Canis lupus familiaris: one gene and its partner. The protein of the gene in region 2 binds, or shares a complex with, the protein of the main gene of each other region. Links are inferred from orthologs where the notes say so. Each region holds a gene or a part of one and is shown on either strand. Other genes may lie near its edges. The genes, in order: PPIE and XAB2.

Region 1 (4,488 bases), on a different chromosome or scaffold from region 2:
TTTTATTGCATTTTGCTTTGTTCCATGTCATAGATAGCAGTTTTTCACAAACTGAAGGGAACCCGGCAGCAAACAATTTTATTGGTACCAGTTTTCCAACAGCACTTCCTCTCTTTGTCTTTTGTGTCACATGTTGGAAATTCTCACACTATTTCAAACTTTTCATTATTATTATATTTGCTATGGTGATCTGTGATTACAGGATTTACAATTCGCTGAAAGCTCATATAATGGTTAGCCTTTTTTAGTAATGACGTATTTTTTTTTTAAAAAAGACTTTATTTATTTGAGAGAGTGCAAGCACGAGCGAGGGGAGGGGCAGAGGAAGAGGGAGAAGCAGGCTCTCCATTGAGCCAGGAGCCGGACTCGGGGCTCCATCCCAGGACCCTGAGACCATGACCTGAGCCAGAGTCAGATGCTTAACTGACTGAGGCACCCAGGCACCTCAGCAATAAAGTATTTTTAAGTTAAGGCAGTACATTACTTTTTTAGACATAATGCTACTGCACATCTGATAAACCACAATATAGTTACCGTAACTTGAGTGCACTGGGAAACCAAAAATTTCATTTCACTCGTTTCATGGTGATATTGGTTTGGTTGTGGTGGCCTAGAACCCAATCTGCAGTATCTCCAAAGTATGCTTGTATTGTTTTTTTACAGATAAAGATCCCAGACCCAGAGAGTTTAAAGACCTTGCTAATAATCAGGCAGGGTGATGACAGATTTAGGCCTAGAACTCCAATCTTAAAAATGACAACTAAGTGGGTGAGCAGGGTGCCCGGGTGGCTTAGATCATTAAGCACCCAACTCATGATTTCAGCTCAGGTCATGATCTCATGAGCTGCTGAGCTGCTGTCTGGCTCAGCGTTCAGCAGGGAATCTGCCTGAGATTCTCTCCTTCTTCCCATCTCCCCACTCCTGTGCTCATGTGCTATCTCTAAAATAAATAAATAAGGGGGATCCCTGGGTGGCTCAGCGGTTTGGTGACTGCCTTTGGCCCAGGGCGCGATCCTGGAGTCCCAGGATCGAGTTCCGCGTCAGGCTCCTGGCATGGAACCTGCTTCTCCCTCTGCCTATGTCTCTCCTTCTGTCTTTCTATGTCTATCACAAATAAATAAATAAAACCTTTAAAAATAATAATAATAAAATAAATCTTAAAAAAGAAAAGAAAGCAAAGGCAAGACAGAAAATCTGCAATGAACCTGTGATGCCAATTGAAGGAAATATCACCCAGGAAAGCAGAGGCCAAAGCCCTTCAGCTGGGGCTGAGCTTCCCTGCTGCCCTGATCAACAGTACTGCTGCCAAGAAAGCAGCAGGGGGTGGTGGGGTACCCAGCAGGTAGTTTGAAACAACAGTCAGATCTCCATGTAGTTCAAAACCTATCTTCCTATTGGGCTATTGAAAAAAAATTTTTAAGATTTTATTTATTTATTCATGAGAGACACACAGAGAGGCAGAAACACAGGGAGAGGGAGAAGCAGGCTCCATGCAGGGAGCCCCATGAGGGACTCGATCTTGGGACCCCAGGATTACGCCTTGGGCCGAAGGCAGGTGCTAAACCGCTGAGCCACCCAGGCATCCCGGCTATTGAAAATCTTCTCTCACACTCGACAGATGGGACTCTCTGCAAAGTTATGTCATAGCTTATAACCTTATAACCACAAGCCTCCGAACATTCCTTCTGCATCAAGATCCCTGTCATGCTGCCCTAATGAGGCACCCTCTTGAGCTTTCCTACATATCAACCATATTTAGAATGCAGTTAGAATTTTTTTCCCCTCTTAGGATTGTGAACATGACATGAAAAGGCCTCACCTGTTTCATAATCCAGAGGAATCTGAATATCTGTGATGTCTCCAAAAGGAATAAAAGCAGCATGAAGAACTTTGTCGTCCACCTCCTCTGCCAGCCCACCTGCGAAGATGCCAAGCGCCTTCTGAGCCACTGTCCTCCACTCTCTGGAGAAGTCCCTGCAGCCCAGTTAGCACGTGACAGCCACGGAGAGGGGGCTGCTCCGTCCAGTCCTCGGGGCTCAGAAGCACGTTTCTCATTTGCTCCTTCACCCAACACTCATGAAACACACCTCCTCACCCTTCCTGCGGACGCGCATCTTAGCGCCAGGATTACTGCAACAGCTTCCTAGCTGGCCTCCCTCTCCTCCACGCAGCCAACTAGAGCAAACCTGGGAACGTGCAGATTTTCACCCATCACTTCCCTGCTTCAACTCCTTCGGAGATTTCCCACCGTCCTCAAGATACAGTACAAACTCCCCGCCCCGCCCATCTCTTCGCCTTCTTTCCCTTTGCTTCCTCAGTTCTCTGGGTTTCCCGCAAGATGACCCCTTTGCCCCATGGGTGCAGGGCTATTTCACACCTCGGGGGTTTTTGCTCTTGCTGCTCCCCTTTCAGTAAACGTAACGACCCTACTTGGGCCATAGAGCGCTCATCAAACTTCGCTATTGAGGTCATTCTCACTTCCACCGGGTGAGTCCCGGGACTCCCTCCTTCCGGGCCGGGGCCCGGGCCGAGCCCCCGCTGCAGCGAGGATCTGGAGCCTCGTCAGACGCCTCTCCCAATCCTCCGGGCCCAGCAGGCGAAGCGGTCCCCATCAGAGCTCAGCGGGCTTGGAAGGGAGCCGGCGAGACTGCTACGGCGGCCGAGCTCCCTGCAGCCAAGCAGTACCGCCACGGACCCGGCCGAGACCCAGGCTCGCCACCCTCCGCGTCCCTAGACGCCTTCCAGCCCCACGCGGAGACCCCTGGGCGAGCGAGCCCCGATTCCGCCGGCTCCGCGCCTGCTCACCCACGTACAGCACGCGCTTGGTGGTGGCCATCTTGCTCCCGCGCGCACCCGCCGGAAACCGGAGTTCGGCCCGCCCCCTTCACAGGCCCCGCCCGCCCCTAGGCGCTCGCAGGCCCCGCCCCCTCCGGCCCCGCCCCGCCCCTAGGGACTCGCAGGCTCCGCCCCTAGGCGCTCGCAGGCCCCGCCCCCGGCTGTCCGCCTCGGGGCGGTGGGTCCTCGCCGTGAGCCCCGCGGCCCCACGCGGTGGGTGCTCGGCCGAACCGCCTGCTCCGCGGGTAGTAAACCATCTGCAAACTACGGGCCACCCCGCCCCACCCGCGGGCCCTTGGACACCCTGGCAGCTGCAGGTGGTTTTTACTTATTTTATTTAAAAAATCTAGTTTTTAAGATTTTATTTATTTATTCATGAGAGACCCACAGAGAGAGACAGAGGCAGAGACACAGGCAGAGGGAGGAGCAGGCTCCATGCAGGGAGCCTGATGCAGGACTCATCCTGGCACCCCAGGATCACGCCCTGGGCTGAAGGCCGGCACTAAACAGCTGAGCCATCCAGGGATCCCCTTACGTTTTTAAGTAGACGGGGAGAACTTTTTAAATAATCTTAGCAGGGATGCCTGGGTGGCTCAGCGGTTAAGCGTCTGCCTTGGGCTCAGGGCTTGATCCTGGAGTCCCAGGATCAAATCCCACATCGGGCTCCCCGCATGGAGCTTGCTCCTCCCTCTGCCTGTGTCTCTGCCTCTCTTTCTCTCATGAATAAATAAAATTTTAAGGAAAATAAAGTCCAAATTTAAAAAAATTAAAAAAAATAAAATAAATAATCTTAGCAGATATGAAAATTTATGAAATCCAATTTTCAGTGTTTATAAAGTTTTATTGGAACACAGCCATGCTCATCGCTTGCCTGTGGCTGCTTTCACACTACAGGGTCAGAAGACCTATGGTCCATCCACAAGGCCTGAAATACCTGCCCCCTGACTCTTGGACTAAGCCAATTCAGAAATCGCAGATTGCCATTTGTGGCAGAAACTAATGGGGCCACCTGTTTTCCATAGACCTGTGGGTTAAGACCTCTTTGAGGTCACATTTAAGCTGAAGCCTAGGGGCACGTGGGTGGCTCAGTCGGTTAAGGGGGGATATGATTTAGGCTCAGGTCACGATCTCAGTGTGGGCAGGTCAAGCTCTGCTCTCCCTCCCGCTCCCAGCTGGGTGAGGCCTGCTTAAGATTCTTTCTCTGCCCCCCACCCCAGGTGTGCTTGCTCTCTTTCTCTCAAAATAAATAAATAAATAAAATAAAGTCTCCTCGAAGCTAAAGCCTAAAGGAAGAAGAAGCTGGGAGAGGAGGAAGCAGGGAGATTTTAAGGAGATCCGCTTGTGCACACTCGAGGGATGGAAAGGTTAGAGTGTGCAGGGGGTGGTCATGGGATCAGGCAGGAAAGGTAGGCAAGGGTGACGCTACCCCATAAGCCATGTGCAGGATGGCAGCTTGGAGCAGTTACAGGAGGTTGTAACAGGGAATTCATGATCACATTTTATGTTCTAAAATAGTGCTGTGGGGACGCCCGGGTGGCTCAGGGGGTGAGCGTCTGCCTTCGGCTCAGGGCGTGATCCCTGGGGTCCTGGGATGGAGTACCCCCTCCGACTCCCCTCAGGGAGCCTGCTTCTCTCTCTGCCTCTGTGTATCTC
Region 2 (4,293 bases):
TATTTATTTATTCATGAGAGACACAGAGAAAGAGGCAGAGACACAGGCAGAGGGAGAAGCAGGCTCCATGCAGGGAGCCTGACGTGGGACTCTATCCTGGGTCTCCAGATCATGCCCTGGGCTGAAGGCGGTGCTAAACCGCTGAGCCACCCAGGCTGCCCTGCATTAATTATCTTAACTAAATCTTCAATCAGCTTGCTACAGATTCTACATCAGCCCTTGCAGTTGCACTTTACGCTTTTGTTATAAAGGTGGCTTCTCTCCTTAAACCTCATGAACCAGCCTCTGTTCGCTTCAAACTCGTCTCCTGCAGCTTCCTCACCTCTCTCAGCCTTTGTAGAACCAACTAGTTACCGACTTGCTCTGAGTTAAGACTCTGGCTTACAGGGATGTTGTGGCTGGTTTGATCTCCTACCCAGACCACTAAAACTTTCTCTTATAACGGCAATAAGGCTGTTTGTTTCGCTTTTTTATCATTCATATCTTCACTGAAGTAGCACTTCTAATTTTCTTCAAGAGCTTTTCCTTTGCATTCACCACTTGGCTGTTTGGTGCAAGTGGCCTAGCTTTCGGCCTATCGCAGCTTGCAACACGCCTTCATTAAGCTTAATCATTTCTAACTTGTGATTTATTTATTTATTACGGAAAGATGACAGATTTATTTTTTATTATTATTTTTTAATTAAGTATTTTTTTAATTTATTTATTCAGAGAGAGAGAGAGACTGAGAGGCAGAGACACAGGCAGAGGGAGAAGCGGGCTCCATGAAGGGAGCCTGACGTGGGACTCAATCCTGGGTCTCCAGGATCAGACCCCGGGCTGCAGGCGGCGCTAAACGCTGCGTCACCGGAGGTGCCCTATTTTTTATTTTTAAAGATTTTATTTATTTATTCACAAGAGACACACAGGGATAAAGGCAGAGACACAGGCAGAGGGAGAAGCAGGCCCCATGCAGGGAGCCCGACGTGGGACTCAATGATCCTGGGTCTCCAGGGTAACACCCTGGGCCAAAGGTGGCACTAAACCACTGAGCCACCCGCACTGCCCTAGCTTGTGATTTAAAGTGAGACCTGTGGAACTGGAGGGTATTATGTTGAGTGAAGTAAGTCAATCGGAGAAGGACAAACAGTGTATGTTCTCATTCATTTGGGGAATATAAATAATAGTGAAAGGGAATATAAGGGAAGGGAGAAGAAATGTGTGGGAGATATCAGAAAGGGAGACAGAACATGAAGACTCCTAACTCTGGGAAACGAACTAGGGGTGGTGGAAGGGGAGGAGGGCGGGGGGTGGGGGTGAATGGGTGACGGGCACTTGACAGGATGAGCACTGGGTGTTATTCTGTATGTTGGTAAATTGAACACCAATAAAAAATTAATTTATTAAAAAAAAATGAAAGAAAAGAAAGAAAAGAAGAAAAGAAAGAAAAGAAAAGAAAGAAAGAGGAAAGAAAGAAAGAAAGAAAGAAAGAAAGAAAGAGAAAGAAAGAAAGAAAGAAAGAAAGAAAGAAAGAAAGAAAGAAAGAAAGAAAGAAAGAAAGAAAGAAAAAGAGAGAGAGAGAGAGAGAGAGAGACCTGGGCAGCCCGGGTGGCTCAGCGGTTTAGCACCTCCTTCAGCCCAGGGCGTGATCCTGGAGTCCCGGGATTGAGTCCTGCATCGGGCTCCCTGCATGGAGCCTGCTTCTTCCTCTGTGTCTCTGCCTCTCTCTCTCTCTCTCTGTGTCTCTCATGAATAAATAAAATCTTTAAAAAAAAAAAAAAAGTGAGAGACGTGTGACTCTTCCCTTCACTTGACCACTTAGAGGCCACTGTAAGGTACTAATTGGTCTAACTGCAATATTGTTATGTCTGGGGGAGAAGGGAGGCCCAAGGACAGAGGTGGGCAATAACCCAGGAAGCAGTCCTGAACACAGTCCACAACATTTATTAACTTCCCCTTTTATATGGGCGTGGCTCCTGGTGCCCCCAAACCAAAAGTAACAGAAAAGTTTGAAATACTGTGAGAATTACCAAAACGTGCCACAGAGGCATGAACTGAGCAAATGCTGTTGGAAAAAGGTGCCAACACACTTGCTTGATGCAGGGTTGCCCAAAATCTCCAATTTGTCAAAAAAGAAAGAAAAGAAAAGAAAAAGAAAAAGAAAAAGAAAAAGAAAAAGAAAGAAAAGAAAGAAAGAAAACAAAAAGAAAAAAAACCCTACAATATCTGTGAAACGAAATCCAAGGACATATATGCCTGTGCTGCAGATACCAAGACACCAAGTCTCGGACTCTTCAAGATCCCACCGGCGATCGCCCGACCAGCTCCACGCCGACTCCGGAGCTCTCCTAATCCACACACCAAGCCCTGTATTCCAGAAACGATAACGCTCGGTACCAGACCTAGGCTGTTACTCAAAACATTCAAAGACTTTACCACGGAAACCAGAGCCCTGGCTTTGGGTCACTAGCCTTTACTTCAGACGCAGACCTCTACGAGAGTTAGCCTGGCGACCCTCCCCTCTCCCCGCGAGTCCCCATTCCCGCCCGAGGCCCGGGCCTCCTGGCCCTTAACCTCGACAGCAGCTCTTCACTCGGACCACCTGGACTCCGGCGCCAGAACTTTGCTCCTGGCCAGCCTGGTCCGCACGTCCCGCCCTCGGGTGGACACAGTTTTGGTCCGGTCACCCCAGGCGGCCAAGCCCCGAACCCGGGAAGCATCCAAGGTCGGTGCCCCCACACGGGCCACCCCCCGCCCCGCCGCGGACTCACGAAAACTAGGTCCGGCCGCTCGGGCCGGGACAGACGCGCCATCACCACCATTTTCCGGGGACTCCAGGTACGGGCAGGAGTCGCGCTCTAATGACGCCTCCCTCTGAAGGCCCGCCCCCCCAGGGCCAGACTTGTTGCCTATTGGTTGAGCCCTTTCCAACCCCGCGGACCGCGTTTGTTGACTTTCGCTTAGAAAGGGCCAGGGACCGGAAGCAGAGACGAGGCCCCGAAGATGACGTCATCACGAAGCCCCTCTACCAATCAGCTTCAGCAGTGGAGCCCGCGAACGTCCAATGAGCTGCCGTTTTGCTGGAGGGTCGACTTTGGGCGGAAGCGGCTTTGTAGCCTAGGAGGAGCGAGATGGGGGTGAAGCTGGAGGTGTTTCGGGTCAGTGAGCTTCGGAGCCGGGCGGCGATTGGGCTCCTCTGGGATCTGGGGAGGAGGCTCTGAGAGGGGGGGACTCCAAGAGAGGGCCATGTCGGGGGGAGAAGGCGTCTGTGTTTGGAGAGGGACCTTTCGGGTTGGAAGCCCCAGCGGCGGGGCGCTGGGTTAGGGGAGGGCTGTTGGGAGGGAGGGCCTCGGAGAGGAGTGGTCCGGCGACGGGGGCTCCGAGAAGGAGGCTCCGGACCCTGGGGGAGATCTGGGGAAGCTCAGGGGCTCCGTGTGGTTGTGTGTTTCTGATAGGGAGACCCCTACGTTTAGGGGAAGAGACTCCAAGGCTTGGGGGTGCTCCAGGGATCTGACGAGCGGGTGGGGAATGAGGTTTCACGAGGAGGCTTTTGATTTTAGTACGAGGATTTGTACCCTGAGTCAGGGTGTGTGTGTGTGTGTTTGAGAGGGAGTTTCCCAGATTTGGGGGAGACTTGAGGTCTCTTGAATTATTATTATTACCGGGTTGGTGGGAGTTGTGCGATTCTTGGGGGGCCCTGAAGAGGCACTCCTGGCACTGCGGGAGGATGGTCCTCCAGGCTCTGAGCAACATACGCGTATCGTGGAAGGGGTTTTAATCCCTGGCTCTGCCCATTTATCCCCCGCCCCTTCTAGATGACACTCTACCTCACCTTCCCTGTCGCTATGTTCTGGATTGCCAATCAGGCCGAGTGGTTTGAGGACTATGTCATACAGCGCAAGGTGGGCACAGGGAGAGTATTCATGGGTTCTTTCCAGGGGGTGGGGGAGAGATTGGAGCACCCAGCTGCTGGGGACCAATGTCCCCTTTCCACCAGCCAGCCCTGCCGTACAGGGAAGGGGGTGTGTCTGGAGGCTCCTGGCTCATGCTTCCAGCCGTTATTTTGTTCCCACAGAGGGAGCTGTGGCCACCTGAGAAGGAGGACCAAGTAAGTATCATACTCTTCTTCCCCCTAAAGGGATGGAGGTAACCTGGATCCCCGTGGCCATGATGAGTTTGAATGAAAATTTTGCTCTCGGTCGTGAGGAGAGAACCGAGAGCGGAGGGGCATATGGTTTCCTTATTGCCCTCTTCCTGAAACTTGAAGCTGGCCCCACTCGGGCCCTCGCTGTAATTGGCATGGAGTCTCCAGTG

Evidence for each region.
Region 1: XAB2 (region 2) and PPIE share a complex: the UniProt entries of both Homo sapiens proteins name them as parts of the XAB2 complex. The link is inferred for Canis lupus familiaris from reciprocal best matches to the Homo sapiens genes XAB2 and PPIE.

The regions. Positions count from the first base shown.
Region 1 is NC_049236.1:3,240,697-3,245,184, forward strand, and holds the start of PPIE (peptidyl-prolyl cis-trans isomerase E), read right to left. Parts: upstream 2,898-4,488; 5' UTR 2,837-2,897; coding exon 2,806-2,836; intron 1,919-2,805; coding exon 1,820-1,918; intron 1-1,819. UniProt on the Homo sapiens protein: Involved in pre-mRNA splicing as component of the spliceosome. Combines RNA-binding and PPIase activities.
Region 2 is NC_049241.1:52,810,860-52,815,152, forward strand, and holds the start of XAB2 (pre-mRNA-splicing factor SYF1), read right to left. Parts: upstream 2,802-4,293; coding exon 2,751-2,801; intron 1-2,750. Other genes in the region: protein PET100 homolog, mitochondrial, read left to right, coding at 3,111-3,137, 3,795-3,881, 4,055-4,087. UniProt on the Homo sapiens protein: Involved in pre-mRNA splicing as component of the spliceosome. Involved in transcription-coupled repair (TCR), transcription and pre-mRNA splicing.